Linked DNA regions of Arabidopsis thaliana. The protein of the gene in region 2 interacts with the protein of the main gene of each other region in a pairwise test. Each region holds a gene or a part of one and is shown on either strand. Other genes may lie near its edges. The genes, in order: AT5G48430 and MYB74.

Region 1 (10,234 bases), on a different chromosome or scaffold from region 2:
GATACAGTCACCAAGGACGGTAATTGTTTTCGGATTTAGGTTTAATGAACGGCTTAGGATTAAACTTGAAACATCTAATGAATCTTTGAATAGATTATGTGAGAACATGCCTTGAAGAACATTTGATTTTGACCTTTCGAACGAATAACTTATATATCCAAAAAAATTACTCAATTCGTATATCCCGTAATTTCCCAATCTGAAGATTATAACCAAAATCAAGAGGCACGTATCTAAGACTAAATGTGTCATAACTCACTGAAATTGTTGTTGAAGAAGAACAGAAGATACTGATGATGATGGATAAAAAAACAAAAAGAAGATACTAATGATGGAAGTCCTTCAGTTGATGAACATAATACTGAATTATTGATGATGAAAGTCCTTCAATTAGACGTTTGGCTTTCTATCATTTAGGCCCATATATTCCGGGTATGAAGCCGGATCCTATAGCCCGTTGGTATTTGAACGGGTCAAGTACGGATCAGATACTATGACATATTGCCACGGGTTTGGCGCTTTTTAGAAAGATAAGAGATGCATTAGTCGGGACTCGGGCGGTATCTTCGGCGCTATAATTTTAATTGGGCTTTTAATGGGCCTGAATCTTTTGGGCATATTATCCATTTATGTTTGGAAGGTGCATCAACCTTTTTTGAAAGTATACATGCAGTATAGTATTCATCGCATTCTTGTTTTTTTATTTTTTTTCCCTGTTGTCTATTTGAAGTCGTTAATTTTTTTCAGTTTAACTGGTTTTTATTATGAACTACATTGAGAATTTAGAAGAAAGAGTGCTTCATGTATTAAACCAATTGATGATATATTCTAGGGAAAAAACCTCACTAACCAAAAACTTAATTAAATAAACAAACCCACTTGAAACCAATTAATATTACATATATTAAAACATTCGTCAATGTTTTTCGGTATATTGAAGAAAGGGATTAAAATCTTCAAGATTCGCATGGACTAAGGAGTGTAAATTAATGAAACGTAAATGCTGCTTCATTGATTAACTTCTGCAAAGATGTCACAAATTCATATGACACCTAAAGATTATCGTTCATACTATACAAAAGTAAATATCGATTTACAAAGATTGCAGAAACTAAACCATACAAGAACAACTGAAATCATGTACAATCTTCAATATTCTTCATGGTTGTACGTAACTACTCTTATCAAACTAACTCTTCTTCATTGATTCTTCTCTAAATATCGATTTACAAGATTCCAGAAACTAAACAATCCATGAACAACTAAATCAAATCCTCAAAAGACATCCAAATTTCAACACAGAAACTATCCAAAGTAACGCAAATCTGAAATGAGCCAAGAAACAACTTTTTACAACGATCTTTAAGTCAAATCAGCACCTGAATTTGATATCGAGTCCATGCTTGCCATGAACACACCCAGGTTTCAACTGCGAATACGAATACTTCTTCTTCTTCAACGTAACGTTTTTCCAGAATGTTCTCTTTCCCGTTTTCCTAATCCTCTGAATCTTTACCAGCTCATGATCATCATCGAGATCATCATAGTAGTCAAAGTCATCTTCTTCATCAGTATCATAACCATCGCGATTGATACCATCTTTAACAGAATAACGTGAATCTTCACAAAGAGAGACCATCCTCGAGCAAATACAACCTCCGTCGACGCGATCACCAGAAGTAACCGGAGATGAAACAGAGTACGACGAATCTTTCGTGGAAGTGACAGTATCGGAGAGAGTCTCGAAGTTGAAGGTGAGGGAAGTGAGTGACTTGAAAGTCTCGAGGTCGAGAATCGCCATTTTTTGTTTTCTTGCTTCTTTTGTGATTTTTGATTTTTCACTCACAGAGGAAGAATAAGAAGTTTGTTACAATTTATAGTTTCGAGTTCAACAACATGCAAAAATAGACAAGGAAGAGATATTGGCCGTTTTGTATCTTCTTGTTAGACATGCGTGCTGTTTGTACTACGTGAACAAAAACGTCATGTAGTTTGTAGGTAGAATCGCATAACGGAATGTAGTTTAAAGAAAGCAAAACCTTCTCATGTAGTGTTTGTTCTTCATATGCTTTGGATTGGAGAATCGGATTTATGGGTTTAACACAAGAAAATCAAATAATTCCGACTTTAGTTTACAACTTTTTTGTATTATTACACTGACATTGACATATATCGTTGTACTCAATTAGAAACTTAAAAAGTGCAAAAATGAACGATCCTTGGATTGAACATAATTTGGGATTTTTCACCACTGAAAAAAATCCATTTATAAGCCATTTAAGTTTTAAGATTAGATACGTAGCACTTTGAATGAGAGTCTTATATATTAAGATGCTTGATTTTTAATTAGGTAATTTTATCTGGTGGTTTTTCGAAAATATCTTGCCATACCAACATACTGTAATTAGAGATGTACTAGAGTTAGCTCATCCCACTTGTAGTTTTGTGAAAAAGGAGCTAACCAAGTAGCTGAGGTATTTGCTAAATCTGCAAGAAGTCACTTCACTAACTACATATCGTTTAGTAGTCATAGTAGTTTAAACTTATATAACCCCTTTAATATAATGACATGGTTTGACGAAAAATAACCAAATAAATCACTAATAGTAACAAAGGAAGTAAGAAAAAAATCATCAGCAATAATTGACATGGTTTATCAAACTTATGTAACATCTTTAATATTATATAAAGTGAAATGACTTGTCGACGCAACTTATATATTAAGGTTCATTAATAATAAGATAAAACTTTAGTGTTTTATTACATTCTTTGACATTCGTCATTGACTAAATTTTTTAAAACCACACTTGACATGAATGTTACATAACAAATGAAGCCAGAGTACTGACAAATAAATATTCAATCACAAGATAATGTCAACTATCAAGTTGTTTTGACATTCTCATGGCCGTGTTTGAAAGTCGCCGCATGAAGCGCTGACCAAACCCAAAGAAGAACTAAATCCAAAAGCAGATCTTCCAACGTCAAACTCCACCAAAGTATTTTCCATCTGATGTATTCCTATCATCACCGCCTGCGCCGCCGCATCTCCTCCGTTGACAAAAGCCAAGCAAGCCACGTCATCGCTGACCTTCTTCATCGCGTTTGCGGGAGACAATTTCCAAATCACACCATTAGCTAGCTCTAGATCGATCCTAGGCACTTGGAAATTTGTCGTCGTCGAAAGACAAAACTCAAAGGGTGTCGTGCTACTGACACGTGGAATACCCGATGTGGCTTGTGAGAATGCTTCGATAAAGACTCTGTATATGTCGCTTCGTAACATAGTGAAAGGGAATATGGTGCTTAGAGTAACGCCTCCATCACCGTTGCGGTCAAAAGCAAAAGCGTTTGGGGCAAACAAGATCCTATTCCCGTTAACGGAAATACCCTTGAGTCCCAAGAAATAGTTGTTGAGTTTTCTAGGGTTTGTAATCAATCGAGTGTAAGAGAGCATAGATCTTGCATCAATGTTTCTGAGCTTGTACGGACCTCCACCAAAGTAAATAGCACCTTTTTTCAAAGGGTTTTCATCAGAAGGAAGACACAACGCAAACTTCTTCTCGAGTCCGAGTCTAGGTCGAGTCAGCTGGTTCCAAGTGGCGAGAGCCGTAGGTGCAAGCCCCGCAAGGCCGAAAACACCGGGAGGGAAGTCTACAAGGAACGGTTGGGGGATGCATAGGTAATAAACGTTGTTGATCGTGACCGAAGGAGATATAGGTTTTAGAGAAGAGATGGATAAATCTCCATAGGTGAATTGGTCAGAGTTACATATACGTTGGAATGGCTCAAAAGCGGTTGCTTGGCAAGCACATACTCCATTGATGATTTTGTTGCTGGGAAGAGAGCATTGGTGAGGAGTGAATCTACGAGTTAGAGCACATACGGGGGAGCCACAAGGGACGATGGGACGAGGGAGACCATCGTTGCATTTACGGACAAGATAGGGACCGCCGATGTGAATGAAAAACTCTTGGTTTGTGTTGAGTGTGAAGGTGAAGATAGGCAAGATTGTGTTCTTAGAGACGGTTGATACTAAGGCTTTAGGTGGATAGTAATTAGCCGAGACGTAACTATAAGTAAAAAACAAAATGAGACAGAGGACAAGAAGACTCTTTTCCATCTTTTGCGTGTTTGTGTTTAAGATTGTTGGAAAGTTTTAAGATATGGATATAATTACTAGGAGAATTAAGAACGTATATATAGCTAATTAGAGTTGACATTTTAACATATAGACATCACACACGTTAATATGTACGAACTTGTACACACAATAATACGGTCCGACCAGAACAACTAGATATATATATTTTAAAAGATTACTATATGTATATCAAGTTGACATAGGAGGGCCAACCATTTAGGCAAAGCCAGTCCTATATGTATGTCAAGTTGATAGATAAATTTAAAAACTACTGATGGATGTAGATGGTCATAGACTCAAAAGACTTATACGTTAATAAGAAAAAGAAAAAACTTCAACTAGCATCACTACTTGTGGTTTTATATGTTTGTTGACAATTAATATTATATATATAGATATATTGAAATAAATAAATAGCAATAGTTTGAATATGGAATGTGATAATCACTGATTTGAAAGTTTTCTAGGATATGATAACCATGTGCGCATTTTTGGTCAAATTCGAATGACATATCTTTGCTAATATGCGTATAAATGGTTAAATTATTGTTTGAGAATATTTTGAATGGAACATATTTGTAATCAACCGTATTAAAAATAGATCATGCATGTCGAAAGCTAGAGAAAAAGTCTGGTTTAAAGACGTAGAATTAGAATTGGTCTTAGTATACTAAAACCGGACTAAACCAACACTAGATTTATGTAGCTCATAGACATTTCCTTTAAGACCCCGTTTATAGCAACCACAATGCTTAAGAGGATTCACTCTCTTAACTAAACCAAACTGCTTCTATTTCATCAGCAACAACGACGCCCTTTAACCCCAAACGTTGAAGTATCCACTTGTGATGGTTTTCCTAGTACCATGTCCGTTACCATTTCCGCTGTTGCTAGAGCCTAAACGATTTCAAGAAACCGTGAATCATGATTGGGTTCTTGAGAAAGGTGTTAGAGGATTAGAATGAATGTTACTTACCATGGAAAGTCCACCTCCTTCATGCCCAGCTGCTAAGTACATGTTTTGTAATCCGGGCACGGATCCTATCACTGGCTTCCCGTCAGGCACTATGATCAGTTAAAAGAAAAGTTCAGGTTTTGTGAACATTCCAAAGGCCGGCTTCAAGTACTTTTGGTTTGGAGCATTAGATGCAAGAAGCTTACTGTAAGGGCGCAACCCGACTCTCACTTTCCTGTTACGGATGAAATCTTCGAGGGAAATATCACGTAACTTAGGAAAGAATTCTGCAGCACGCTCCCATATGCAACGGATGATAAACTCATCAGCTTCAGTGTCGAACCCGACAAACTCACGGCTGCTCCCTGAAATTAGAGATGGCTAAATGAAGATAAGAGATATATTGTGTGTGACTGATAAATATGTTAAGCACACATAATAAGAAGAACATGGATTTTAGTGGACATAGATTGATGAAATTACCAAGAACAAGGTTTCCTGATGTGTCCATTGTGGCTGTCATGGAAATAGATAGCATCCGTTCATCGACATCCAATCCTGAAACTGAAGCACTTTGATGATTCGAGTAACCAGCCTCCATTATCCCATGATTTAAGTGGAATGAATCAAAGTTCTCTACCACAAGCAGATGCCCCTGCAAGGCAAAGTTGGATACTGCAATTTAAAAAAATACCAAAGCAGTCCATTTCAAGAAGCTTGCAAAGGATCTTCACGACAAATAAAGATATACTTGCTGCTCTTAAACAATAATATCCTCAAGAACTTGGCTTGCCAGAATTTTGACACCTCGTGATGACAAAGATACACTTCAATATAGAGATTTAAAACGAGGGAATATAAATTGGGCAATCAGACGAGACTTCAAACCTTTCTTGGCTTCACCGGAACGTCCAGCGGAATGTTGCAGTCTTTAAGCAATTCATGCATCAGAGATCCACTCCAGCAACCAGCAGCTACTATAGTAGCCTTCTTACCATACAAGTTGCGTTTCAAAGTCTTAACGCCAGCAACCACCTTGCTATCCCCATCAGACCTGAATAGAAATACTATTAATAAAACTCTAGTAGAAGAAAGATTAGTAGCGTCCACTGAAGATTTACATAGATTTGGATGAATTTGTTTTTGTGTTTCAGCCTCTTAATTTAAGGTAACAAAATTAGGACACAGCCATGGTTTTTAGTATACAGATATGTATGTTATATCGATGCCTAGATTGGAGAATGCATTTTTAATTTTTGGTTCAGAAAAGTTCTGATTCAGCTACAAAGATTACCAACCTTATTAAACCTGTAACTGGTTCATTATAGAACTCGGCATATCTGCCTGCTGTTGCAAACGCTCTATTACCCTGAGTAACTCAAATAAAACTAAGTAAACCACAAAAGAAAAGTGTCAGATGAGACATTCAACTATCAAATAAATACATAAAAAGCAACCTTCTCGATATAAGCAACCGCACGATGGGCGTCCAACTGTGAATCATCAGGAAGAAATGCAGCACCAGTATTATCATTTACAAGTATCGCAGGCTCCTTTAACAACAACTCAGCACTAGACAAATATTCAGTTCTTAACCCAGCTTCAGATAGCTCATGAACCTTTTGCTTCAGAGCAACACATTCCTCAGTGGTCCTACCAATGAGCAAGCTTCCTACAAGTGACAACAATACACTGAACTATATCATCTATTTTCGTTGACAAACAGAACGTAACTAATGGTGTATATATCATCTATTTTCGTTGACAACAATACACTGAACTATTATTTTTGTTGAACACGACGAAAATGACATTGCCAAAAGAACCTAACTAATAGTGTATAGAACCCAATAGACTAAAGTGAAGAAAGAATCAACACAAGATCATGATCAACAAAGTCGCTCAAAGAGCTCCAAATTCTATACAAACGTAAAGTGGGTAGTCAGTAAAAACCTGTCTTTTTCCAGCCAAGCAACTCTTCAGGATCAAGACCATCATCAGTCAAGCTCTCTGCAAGCTTGTGCCAGAGTTCATGGCTCCTCAAGGTCAAGTCCCACACATCACTGCCTGGTTTCTTGTGTGTCATCCATATATATCCCTGCCCTGAAATCCAAAAACCACAAATTTCAAGTTAAGTCAACTTCATTCACTTCAAGAGTCCAGCTTTATTTGCAGAATCCATAGGTAATGTACTAATGTCAATCGTCAGATCCAATTTGTAAGAGAAGGGTTGAGAATTACCGGCACCGGTGGCGCCGGAGCAAGGTACGGCTTTATCGACAACAGCAACAGATAGATCCGACCCGGTAAGGAATTGGCGGGCTATGGTTAACCCAATGATCCCACCACCTACAACAACAACATCGAAGGAGCTACGAGAAGCTGTGACACGTAGTGACAGAGAAGCTCCATGTTGGGTTCTCTTGGTGGAGCTCCGAGATGAAAATGGGTAGCTCAGTGGTGTTAAAAAGGTGGGTGATTGAAGGAAAATGGAAACCATTGGAGAAGAAGGTTTTTGGTATCGTAAAGGTTTGAACTTTCAAAAGTCAACGTAAGAATTAGCAAAGTATTACACTTCAGTTTTATTATGTGCCAATTACTATCTCAGTGCTTCTTCACATTTCCACCTACTAATCATCTTCTTGTAATATGGAGTTAATCATCCAAGTAGGAACATGAATCCAAGTTCCTCAGACATGAATCTAATATGATATCCGATCCCGGTTTTTTTCGGATATCCGATCCGTTTCTACAAGACTCAGGTCTGTCTGTGCCTTGGCAGTAGAATCAAGAATCTTCTTAGTATTACAAAGACGATTGATGTCTTCTCACCAAGTTCTATTACAAAATCAAGCCTTACAGCATAACATTATATTGATGGTAGATTAAACACTACGCATAAACAACAAACACCTCATCTGTGATCTTCAAGCTTCTACTGTGTTATACCAACACTATGATCTTCTGAAATGATGGGAGTGGCATTGCAGTTTTGCTACAATCAGGCCCGAAAAGCTCAGAATCGTTATCTTGCTAAACTACTTACTAAGATTGCAAAAAGAGCGAGGAGAATCCCTCTGCTTGTTACAAAGATGGATCGCTGTGATCCGGAGAAGTTTACCCTCTGTGCTTGATCTCTGCAAAAATAACAAGACACAGGTCAGTGACTGAGAAAGCCAACCTAAAAGCTAATTCCTTTTCTAGACTTACTTTTGTAATGGTGAGAGCCGACCACAATATATAGAGTTTTTAGGAACGGAATTCTCAGATGAGTCAATGTCAATCTCTGGATTAACCACACTCAAGTATAGTTCTTGGCCAAGATACCATGAGGCTAGATTGTCTATTCGAAGGTTCCACATGCCAGCATTGTCCAAAGAAACCAAGACGGCCGTCCATGCACCAGGAAACACCTGTAAACAAATTAGCCGTTTAAAACCACATAGAAACACATGTAACATTTCGGTTTCAGGTGTTAAGTCATAAAACCTGCGTAGTAGATCGAGCAACTGCATCACCCTTGTTGTATGTGCTTCTGCTATTTTCTGTCCACAGACCAAAGTCCATCCTTCAAGACAAACATCATTCTTTAACTTTACAATCACATTGTCCATTATCTTTCAACGTCTGGTCATGTAAATGGATCTAATATAACTAATGGAACCTTACCCAACAACAAAAAATGCATAACCATCCAAGTGGTAGCTCTTAACAGTGGTGTCACTATTTTGAAATATGATTTCCACGAATCCCTTGAACGTGCCGTTTATGACTGAGGTATCAACCCTGGGATGCCTATTCATTGGCCTTTTTGGGAAATCCAACTTGTATACCCCTGAGATGTTGTATTGCTGAGCAAGCTTTAGGGGTGTTGCAGGAGGTAAGTATGATATACCATTAAGAGTTGCACGCAATCGTCCCTCTATCATCTCTGGTGGTCGGTTGACAATCACATACACATCAGTTACTGTAATCTGGCCATATTTGAAAGATCCCTGCGGGTTTGGACGGGCAGCTCCAGATGACAAATTCAACCTACCAAACAGCATTTTCCCATCAGCAACAAGTAAATATTGCAGTTTTGAATAGAAATAGAAAAGGGGTACCATTCTAGCCAAGATATTTCCTAGTATGAAACATAACTATACATAGTCGTTAACAACCTTAAGGATCGTGCTTGGTTCATTGAGAAAAATGTGTCCAACTCAATAGGAGGATCAGGGAGTGGACCTGAAGCGGGTCCTTGGGAATTAGAGTAGCGCAAGACAGCGACTCCACTAGCTTTGATGGATGTAGCAAACCTTGGGCTGGCAACAATGTAGTAGTCATTACTACCAGACTGATCCATAGTGACCAGAAATGAGAAAGATTGACCCACATGTATATCCATATTCGTATAATTCTGCTGAATTGTGTATGACCCTTCTGTCTCAACAAGAAGCAGGTTATGATTCTGTATTCTGAAATTCAAGCTGGTCGCAATGCCACTATTGTGAACACGAAAACGATATGTTCGTCCTAGTAAATATGAAGATATGAATGTTTTCAGAGACGAGAGAAGATTCAAACTATAAACAAAGTGAAGATTCAACAAAAAGAGATGTTATTATAAGATACCTGGTTCAACGTTTATGGTCCCAAAAGGACTACCATTAGAAGCAAAAGGTCCAAATCCATTGATGACAATACCATCCGGAGGTCGAAGGCCGTTCTTACTCTCAACATCCTTCCTCAGCTTCTGATTCCACAGAAGTGTTTCAGATGTTAAAACAAGCATAGCAAAAGAGACAGGACAGAAAACAATAAAGAAAGGTTTAAGGCTATATGTAAAAACCTTATGGCTCTTAGTATACCAATCACTGATAAAGAGAGTAACATCACCATCAGGAAGAGCGAAAGGAACCGGAATGATAGCGCGATTATTGACAATAATCCCTCCATAACCACCAGAAGCTCTTTGAAAATTTGTAGAAGGAAAATAAAAGAAACTACCAATCTGATCTTTAACTTGAAACTCATAAGTCCAATTCCAACCAGAAGGAATTGGACAATTAGTTCCCAAAACACCATCTTGCCATGAGTTTTTCCTATGTTGGATTCCATTCCTGCATATCACCACCATTACAAACAACATA
Region 2 (10,379 bases):
TTGATCCATTCCTACTATAAAATCTTTAGTACGTAGATATTATAGTGTAACAAACAATAAATGAAATGGAAAAATACAGCCGTATATAAACGACGAAATCTTGGTGTTTGAATTAGAGTTTGGCACGGTGATGTATAAGAAAACTCTGATATTGAAAATCTTGGTCATACAAATACACAACACAAGTGTATATCGAGGACAAAACGTGTTTTTTGTATGGAATAATGAAAACAACTTTTGGGATCATGTAAAACAAGATTTGCCTTTTTAGTCCAACTGATTCATATGCCACCGCCCAAAGTACTTACATGTCTTAGAGACTTTGTAGGTTTGATTGACAGAGAATATTGCCAATTAAGAAAATATTTGATCAACCAACTGAAATGACAAAAAACAACCTAAACAAAAATGAAGTTGGTATGAGGTGATTGTCTAAATTAAATTTACTTGTTAATCTGTGAATTTTCGAAAAATTACCTTTTAATTATAAAATTTAAACAGTTAATGTAACAAATAAAAACCTCATTTAATTTAAATCAAAATAAAAATCAAATAAATAAATTTACATTTATTCTTTTTATTTCTCAATCTTTTTGTCAATTATTTCTCAGTTTTTAGTTTCTCTACTTTTTAAGTATATTTTTCTTTTTGAAACAATCTGTCTATTATTAGAAAAATATGATAATCACTTTCTTATCATATTTTTGCTTTATTTTGTGTTTCATATGTTTTTCTTTTTCTTTCTAATGGTTAAAACTGGATTTGTGTTATGTAGAAAAATGTTCTTGTGCCTATAATGTGGCCAGTTCTTTTTTTCGGTAATAGACTTGCCACGAAACAAGTTGTGGTGTAGTTTAAGCCAACTATTTATGGTGTCGAAGTTAGACTTTAGATTTAAAACTTTAGAGTTTATATATACAGTAAAATCTCTATAAATTAATAATATTGGGACTACAAAATTTTATTAATTTAGAAAGGTATTAATTTATCGATAAATTAATATTTATTAATTTATAAAAAGATTTTCAAAATTTTGGTAACTTTTTAAAAATTTCTATAAAATTTCTTTCATTATTGAAAATATAATAATAATGTCTACAAACAACACCAACAGTTTTGATACAGTAAACTATGATAATTATATTCAAACAAAGAACAAATATGAATTTAAGCAAAAAAATATTAAAAATATATTATAAGGAAATGTTTTATGTTTTACATATAATATATATGTAGTTGATACATTTATACAATTATTAATTTACGATATTGATGGGACCATATATTTACATAAAACTTTCAAAACAATTATTATCATATTAATTTATCGTTTGTGTCACTTTTTACACTGGTTCCAACTTAAGACCGGAAAAATTTATTAATTTATAGAAGTTATTAATTTATAGAGTATTAATTTATAGAGGTTATACTGTATAATATTAAAAGTTGGCCAATAACAATTAAGGAAATTATTTTTAAGGGTGCCTAAAACATATGAAAGATTTTAATTTTTCTTGTTAAAACTTGCTAATAATTTATTGTTATAAGCTTTTATTATAGTCTCTTATTATAGTCCTGGAAATTTGATGTTTAGAAAAAAGTATACTATGACGACAGTGTTTTAAAGTTTCCAAAAAAATCGATAAAAATCTCGCTCAAACTGAAAATCGTGATGAATAGTGACATTTGACAAGTTTCAACATTCAGTAAAAATTGCTAACAAAAGATATTAAAAATAAAATCAAATGTGGTAACATTGTAAATATATGCTAACATAATCCTATACTATTATTGGGAAATACATAATAAAATAACCATATTTTTTGTAAGTAATTACATAGGTATGCAATTAAAAATAAAATTTCAAAGAGTAAAATAATTCATCTTTTTAAATATTAAAAAGTCAAATACTAATTTAATTAATTAAATTTAATTAAAAAACAAAATACATTTTTAATTTCTAAAAAAGTAACCAATCAAAATCAACATATAAGATTTGATATCCAAATTTTAATTAATTTAATTTAATTAGACAAACGAAATACATTATTAATTTCCAAAAAAAATAACTAATTAAAATCAACAAATTAGATTTGATATCTAAATTATCATATTAATTTTTTATTAATTATTATAGTTCATCTCTCATCTTTATATGATTCTATTTTTGCGAAAAAATAATATTATTGTTATAAAAGAATAATTAGCTTTTCGCATGTGCCATGATTTATATTTTTAAAAACGAATATAAACTGTTCAATACATGAAAAAATATTATAACAGGTCAAAAATAGATTTTAGAAAACTTTCTACTAAGTAACGGGTTATAATTTAAATATTTATATTCAATTTCATACATATTATTTTGAAAATTTATAATCTTATATACTATAATAATTAATAACATATTAGATTTTTTTATGTGTATGATGTGATTCAATTTTTAATACAAGCTTGAAAATCTTAGAATTGACGGGTTTAAATCAATATTAATACAAGATGGTAATTATAGGTGAAACTCTAAAATTAACAATTAAATACAAGTGTATAATCTTAAATACTGAACAATATAAATAATATCAACAAAAATATACAACTAGCAGTTTACTATACATTTAAAATCCATAAAATAATATTATATATTTATAAATCACTTTTACAATAAAAAATTTTAGTTTAACTAAAATATAAGAGTATCTACGGTATACCGCACGTTTATATCTAATTACGTATATATAAAAAAGAAACAACTCAACTAACCCACTTACGTTTCCGTCAATTCAAAAATAAAACTATATATTTTACCAAAAAAAAGTAAAGAAAAAAAAAAGTAAAACTAGATATATACAATTTATTCTAGTTGCAAATTAAGCATTCAAAATTGGCAAGATATGTAATTGTTTAATTTCGTTAAGACTCTTAGCATTAAAACCAAAGAAAATAATATGAAATTTCTCTTACTAAACAAGTTTTTATTTAATGAAAAAAACAAGGTTTATTTAATTACCACAATAATTTATTCTTATAAAAAATGTTGACTCTATACGTAATAAAAGATCCACTGGAAAAACCGAACAAGGGGTCAAAACAAACAGCTCATCCCAAAAAATGCCGACGTTCGTGTTTACACATGCTGCTTTGTCCCCACGCGTCCCCACTCTCAGTTGGCTCTCCGTACAACACGTGTTAAAGGTGATTAATTAACACAAACCGTGATTTCAATTAAAACGAGCTTTTTCTTTCAACTTTTTCCTTACGTTTTCCACTTATTGCTTTCGTGTCGTACAAGTGGCGTCTGGTCATTAGATTGTGTCCCGTGATCTGACCCCAATTGCACACGTACGCTACCATACCACGTGTACTTCTAGTTCACGCTCCGGCCAGTCTCGCCGGATTCCGGTTAGTAAATTCGTAAGACTTCTCTGGTGGTCAAAATAGAAAGTTTTTCGTGCATTTTGATTGGTTCTAGTGAAATTGTGCAAATTTTTGATTGACTTAATGGCCCACTTCCATTTCAAAACATTTGTTATTAGTATTGTTTTGGTTCATAAATTATCATTAGTTTATTTCTTCAGAGAAACAAGAGATAATAAGTCAATGATATAATTATTCACTATCAATTATTTATCTACCTTTCTATTTCGATAACATTTCAGCACCATGTATGATATCAATTATAGTATATATCTTCGAATCATATTTTAATATGATCGTTGATACGATCTCCATGCATTTATGTAGAAGAAAAGCCGACCACAAATATTAAACAAAAGAGTAGATAGATACCAATAATAGAAACTCCATCATTAAAACAATGTTATGAGCTGAGCTTTATATTGTTTACTGGTGGGATGTTGCTTTCCCCTTGACGAATATACTTTAGTAATAAATATTTTAAAACTATAGTATTTTGGATTTTGGATATGTAACAAAATCTATATAACAAATACAATGATTGCATGTTTACATAACTCTATTCCAATGGCGTTTTGTTTATTGGAATTGGAGAAAACCATTAACATCAAACGAATAATTAGTGATATTATCACTGTAATAACTCTCTTTTTCATCCTCGGTGCTGCAAGTGCTACTATTGATGTAAGTTGAGGAACTTGAGTTTAACGGAGTCGGGCTTGAAGAAGGTGTGGTCAAGACTGAAGCAAAGTCGGAGTAATAAGGTTCTAATACAAAATTGGACTTCGAACAATCATCATCGTATGACAATGAATTTTGGACCGTCGTCTTCATTGGCATGAGGTCTTGGAAATTCGTGAATTGATCCATGATAGGGAACCAAGATTGTAATTCTTCATTACCAGGCATGTTGTAACCGGTTTGGTATTGGTTTACTTCGGTTTGGTTAACCGTGTTGTTCTCGTGTGTGTTGTTGGGGTGGTTTTGGTTTGAAAAGAGAGAGGTTGCGAGTTTGAGTATCTCGGGGTTAACCAATGGTTGATGATTACCATCACTCATCATGAGCCTCGACATGTTCATATGTTGTTGATGATGATGATGATGATGATGCGAAGAGTTGTAGATAGATGAGCTGAGAATGGAGGAGATATCGAGAAGATCAAGACGTGGAGTGTGTGTAACCGGGTCGATTCCCATCTTTAGAAGTCTTTTTCTGATGTGAGTGTTCCAATAGTTTTTGATCTCGTTGTCTGTTCTTCCAGGCAAACGAGCCGCAATCGCAGACCACCTATACGAAAGCAAACAAAGTTAGAATCTGATGCATTGTAGATTTAACATAAATCACTAGTAACATCATTCAAAGCTATGACTCTAAGACTAATCTACAAGATTAGTAGTTTTCGTATAAACTACGTAATGGCAAAAATATAAAATTATTGAAAAGTTCAAACTCACTTGTTTCCCATGATGCTGTGAAGTTGAATAATGGTTTCTTCTTCTTCAAAAGAGAATCTTCCACGCTTAATATCTGGTCGGAGATAGTTGGTCCACCGGAGACGACAACTCTTACCACATCTTTGTAACCCTATAGTCAAGATTCAAGCAAAACTTTAAAAAGACAATTCACGAATAAAAAAAGTATGATTAAAATGTAATAATGAAGATACGTATACTAACCAGCATTCTTGGGAAGAGTTCTCCAATTTCCATAACCATGTATATTGATATAATCAATGAGCTTTTGATCCTCCTCAGGAGTCCATGGTCCTTTCTTGAGACCATTCTTCTTCTCACAACATGGTGATCGTCCCATCTTTTTGATTAATTGTTAACCGATCGATGAAGTCAAATGTTTTTAAAAAAATATAGTGATTGAATTATGAGGAAACAGAGAGTAGAGAGAAAGAGAGAGACGTAGGGTCCTTAAAGAGAGGTACGAAATATATATAGGAAAGAGATGAGACTCTTATCATATGGGGAAAAAAGGTGAAGTCAAATTGATTCGGTGCCGTCCTCTGTTCATCGATTGGGCTACGTGTCCTTTATAATCCCAAAATTTGTTTTTTCCAAAAAGTTTTTTTTGGATGTATACATACTATATATTAATGTTTTTTCCTACACCTTATTGTGAATTATGATAATGGCTAAAACTCTAGTAACAAAGCTGGCCACTAAATAACTTAATTTGGTTTTTGTTTGTAAGTATTTTTGTAAGTCATTTATGTTTTAAGTTAATTATAACTATGCATGCATGTGAATCTAGTGTGACACTTCGGTACAAATCTTGTAATTTGGGTAACCAAAAATATTTTTCATAACTTAGATAGTATAGAAACCATTTATACATTCTTCTTGTTGATTTTTTTTTTTTTTTTGAATATCAAGAGATTCTGGATCGAAGCATTTCTCTAGGCCTGAAACCATAGCATGTAATTTTTGTTCCAAGCGTCACTCAAATAGACATCTCTAAGCTTTGCCTAAATTTTTTACCAATTGAGCTAACGACACTTGATTCTTCTCGTTGATATTAATAAGAAAAATATCGTCAATCCAACTAATACCCTAGTTTCGAGTGATATGTTTCAAATTAACTATTTTTAATTGATTAGGAGTTTCATAATTTATAAGAGTCTCTATAATAGTATATAGTCTATTCAACTAGAAAATTGATAAATTCTGTTTTAATATTGTTAATAAAGACGGTAGACAAATGTACGTATGATATGAAACACGTGATTTTGGGGAGTTTTGTAGTGTTAAACACTGTATAGATTAATGTATAAACTTGTGTGATGATACTTAAGACTTAACTAATCAATTGATAAATATGATAATTAACAATGCAATCACAATCTAAAGAGACATGGACGTCGTCGAGGAGTGTCGCTCTCCGTAGCTTTTGGCTGTTTTCACATTAGCTGTCGCCAAAGTTATGATGCCACGTACTCTCTCTTTCCTCACAATTCAACCCTTCTGCTTTGTTTTTTCCTTTGGACTTTTTTGCAAAAACAAAACATATACAATGGATAAAATTTGTAAAACTATCAGAATACTGTTTGGTAACATAACTTTTAAAATTAATTTTGATTTTTACGTGAAAAGTATTTAACAAATTAACGCAGGTTCACACACACCAAGTTTTATAAAAGATTCTGGATTCATCTAATATCAAATTTTAAATAAATAACATATTTTCGTATAATAGTTTTTTTTGGGTAAATTTCAATAAAAACTACAATTGCAATTTTTATTAATGTTATAAAAACGACATTACCAACCTATAAATTCGTGAGTTTGATGTATAAGAAAATAGATAAATAAATGTTCAAGTATTAAATACATACACAGCAAATTTAGCTGTTCCTCTCTGTCTCTCTCTCTATCCCATCAAACTTTCTCAAGAAAAAAATGAAGACCAATCTTTTGGACTTATTAGCTTTTTCTACGTGAGATTTTGAATACATGATTGTGAATTTGTGATGCTTCCAAATTCCATTTGAAATTTTTGATTTTGAGTTATATATATATATATATATATCTTATTATTCATTGGGTGGCTTTATAATCATTTTGAAGTAAATATAAATGTGAGAAGAAAATTGATTGATACATTTTGCATGGCGTGACGTCAGATAGATTATCACTCTTATAGGAACCACGAGTTGTGCAACTCATCTTCCCTTTCGTGTTTCGACACTTTACATTTAATTACAACTAATAAAAATGGATTTTATTAACTAATTAAGTACTTTTTTGATCTCCTAAGAATTTGAATATATGAGTAGCTAAAACTCTAGAACAAACTAATTATAGTTAATGAATATTTGGATTCTATATTATTGGCGCATATGGCCTTATTATATATGCATAGTTTCAGGCAAACAAAAATTCATTCGAATATTCCAACAAACAAAAGCATCCAAGTAATAAAAATACATAAACAAAAGCAGCTAGTTTATAGACAAAATCTTCAAATAATCAGGAAGGACGACGATATAGATTGGTGATTAATATATTAGTAGTGATCGAATCATTGTCACATTTATGCTATTATAATACTATAGTTAAATATAAGTACATTAGGTTAATGTCTCGTTCCTTGCGGTTCAAGAATCTGTCGGGTTTAACGACAAATGAAAACTCCGCAAAGTGCGAAATTATGTGAATGAATAAGTATATTAGTTGATAAGAAAAAGGAGAATAAAATTTCATCACTTTATCAAATAAATAAATAAAAGAATACAGGATTAAAATAACTAAAAAAAAAAATTAGAAGATAGCTAGTGATGCTATATTAGGGTAGTAACTTGTCAAACATCTAGAGGCTTTGCTTGCGCATGAATTTGCCACAAAGAGCAGCAGCCTACGTGTTACTAGTTACTACATAGTTGACCATATCTTATTTGTTGATAATGTTTGAGCCTTTTCATGAATTAAATATGTTTCATGGATATTGGATCTGTATATCACTATGGATAAATCACTTAGAGCTCGATTGATTTAAACGTAATAGAAACATGTGCAATTGCAATTGCAAGAATTTGCAAAAACAGATGGGTTTTCACACATTTTGGATCTAAATTTATAGAAACATACGTGACTTCGTATATGTGAATCAAATTGAAGATATATTTGTAGGTCAATTTTCACTTTCTAGGTAATAATAGTACAAAAATTTATTAATTTAGAGAGGTATTAATTTATCGATAAATTAATAATTATTAATTTATGGAGAGATTTTAAAAAATTTGTAATTTTTTACAAAAATTTAATCCAAAAGGTAGTTCCTCTCTACAATCAATAATTTTTCTAAAAATCAATTACAAGTATAAAACCATTATTAGGTTTAAAAAAAAAATCTTTTTTATACGTAGTAAAATTATTAGAATTGAATTTTACAAAGAATTAATATAAATTGAAGAAAAACAATACTAAAGTCATATTTTACTAAGTTTTACATAATATATATTCATAAATATAAATATATATATATATATATATATTCATAAATTTATACAATTATTAATTTATAATATTGATGGGACCATATATTTACATAAAATTTTCAAAATAATTATTATCTTATTAATTTATCGATTTGTATCAATTTTTATAGTGGTCCCAACTCGGGACCGGAAGAATTTATTAATTTATAGAGGTTATTAATTTATCGAGTATTAATTTATAGAGGTTTTACTGTATGTGGGCAATAATAGTATGTAGCCACATACTATATATATATATATACACGATACTTGCCTAATTTTTCTTAATATAAAATATGATTGATTAGTATGTATGTTAAAATAAATCGAGTCACGTACGTAGAGATTATCGTCGCATTATTCCAGATTTTGATACGTCAGAAACGAGCCATTTGAATTCTAAATAGTTGAAAGACAAAGACCAAGAGTCCACACACACATACGTAATTATGTATATAACATTTATTTATGTATAGAAAATTACAATACATATGCGAGTGCGATACGATATCGGAATTAATAGTTGTGGAGTTGATGTGCCACATAGTAAAGTAGCTATATCTATATAGAATATTTGAATTATTAAACTTAGTGGTTTCTATTCTTGGAGGTTTCATAATAGAGGTGTGTTAATGATATTAAAATAACGAAATAGAATTTAGCTCTGGTAGTTGGATTTGAATCCGTACAACTCTGGGAGTTGGATTTGGAAGCGGTTGAGTAAGCTTCGTAGTCTGGCGAGACTTTTTTTGGTGTGTGAAGTGGGTTTGGCTATTACGGCTAGTTTCTGGTACGATAATTAGACTGGTTTGGGTTCTCTTTTAAATCTCACGAGTCCTTTGGGTCTTCAGGTGATAGGTCTGCCAAAAAAGGCGGTGGTAAGAGACGCAATTTCTGGTGATAGGTGGAGGGTTATGGGTTCTAGAAGTCGTAATCCCATCATCTCCTTGATCAAAGCACGCCCTGCCTAGTTGCAATGATATCATTACCTATGAAGTCGATCAAAGACCTCCTTCTCACTCTTTCTCCTCTGCTCTGACTTGGCAAGCGCTTCACCCTTCTGGCCGTCCTGTTGTGTGGCATAAGTCGGTTTGGTTTAAGGACCATATTCCAAAGCACGCATTCATTACTTGGGTTACTGCTTAGAATCGGCTTCATACTAGAGACTGCATGAGGAGGTGGGGTCTCTCTATTCCTTCGGATTGTGTCCTTTGCTCTGGAAATGCTGAATTTAGAGAGCACTTGTTCTTTGGATGTGGTGTCAGTTTTGCGGTTTGGGGTAACTTCATGTTTAGAGCAAGCTTAACTCCTCCGCTTCTCTTTATGGACTGCCTCACTTGGGTCTTATCTCCTTCTCGTGATCCTAACATTTCTCTCATCATCAAGCTAGTGTTTCAAGCTTCTATCTACTTCCTTTGGAAAGAGCGTAACCGTAGATTGCATGATCACGCTTCCCGCTCTTCTACTGCAATCATCAAGGAAATCAAGGTCATCCTTACAGCTAAGCTGGATCCTCTCTCTAGGCGTTCTGAATTTGATGCCCCCGACAACTCTCTCCTTTCTACTTGGTTTCGCTACTTCAACTAAGGTAAATTTTTCCTCCTTTGCGTTTCTTATGTTCTGTTGGGCCCTCTTATTCCTTCTTGGGCCTCAGGGTTAGTTTTCGGACCTGCGTGCCTTTTTGGGCCTTTGGGCCGTGTATGTTTTTTGGCCTGCGTGCCTAGTTTGGAATTTTGTGTCTTGTAAGTTCTTTTTTATCTAATGGAAATTTAAAATTAAAAAAAAAAAGAAAAAAAGAAAAAAAAGAAAAAGAATTTAAAATAATGACAAAGACGTGGATACAACGGTTGACGGGAAGTCCGGCGTCCGAATTCACCTGCTTCTGGACGAGATACGGTGAATCCCCTAGACCTGAAATCTCAGAGACTGGACAACCTAAAAAACACTATCCTTACCTTGTTATTCTTTCTTCTGAATGTA

The links.
Region 1: the proteins of MYB74 (region 2) and AT5G48430 interact in a two-hybrid assay, tested with the Arabidopsis thaliana proteins (one large-scale study listed by BioGRID).

Annotation. Positions count from the first base shown.
Region 1 is NC_003076.8:19,624,990-19,635,223, forward strand, and holds AT5G48430 (Eukaryotic aspartyl protease family protein), read right to left. Parts: upstream 4,179-10,234; 5' UTR 4,124-4,178; coding exon 2,903-4,123; 3' UTR 2,645-2,902; downstream 1-2,644. Other genes in the region: AT5G48420 (uncharacterized protein), read right to left, coding at 1,373-1,801; AT5G48440 (FAD-dependent oxidoreductase family protein), read right to left, coding at 4,943-5,041, 5,121-5,209, 5,306-5,464, 5,583-5,754, 5,988-6,153, 6,398-6,468, 6,557-6,771, 7,053-7,202 and 1 more; sks3 (SKU5 similar 3), read right to left, coding at 7,802-7,923, 8,142-8,236, 8,310-8,512, 8,589-8,667, 8,769-9,134, 9,263-9,617, 9,717-9,837, 9,934-10,204.
Region 2 is NC_003075.7:2,613,405-2,623,783, reverse strand, and holds MYB74 (myb domain protein 74), read right to left. Parts: upstream 5,413-10,379; 5' UTR 5,228-5,412; coding exon 5,092-5,227; intron 5,000-5,091; coding exon 4,870-4,999; intron 4,703-4,869; coding exon 3,994-4,702; 3' UTR 3,837-3,993; downstream 1-3,836. Other genes in the region: AT4G05097 (uncharacterized protein), read right to left, coding at 9,221-9,362, 9,389-9,468, 9,560-9,769; AT4G05095 (non-LTR retrolelement reverse transcriptase), read left to right, coding at 9,570-9,986. UniProt on the Arabidopsis thaliana protein: Probable transcription factor that may function in salt stress response.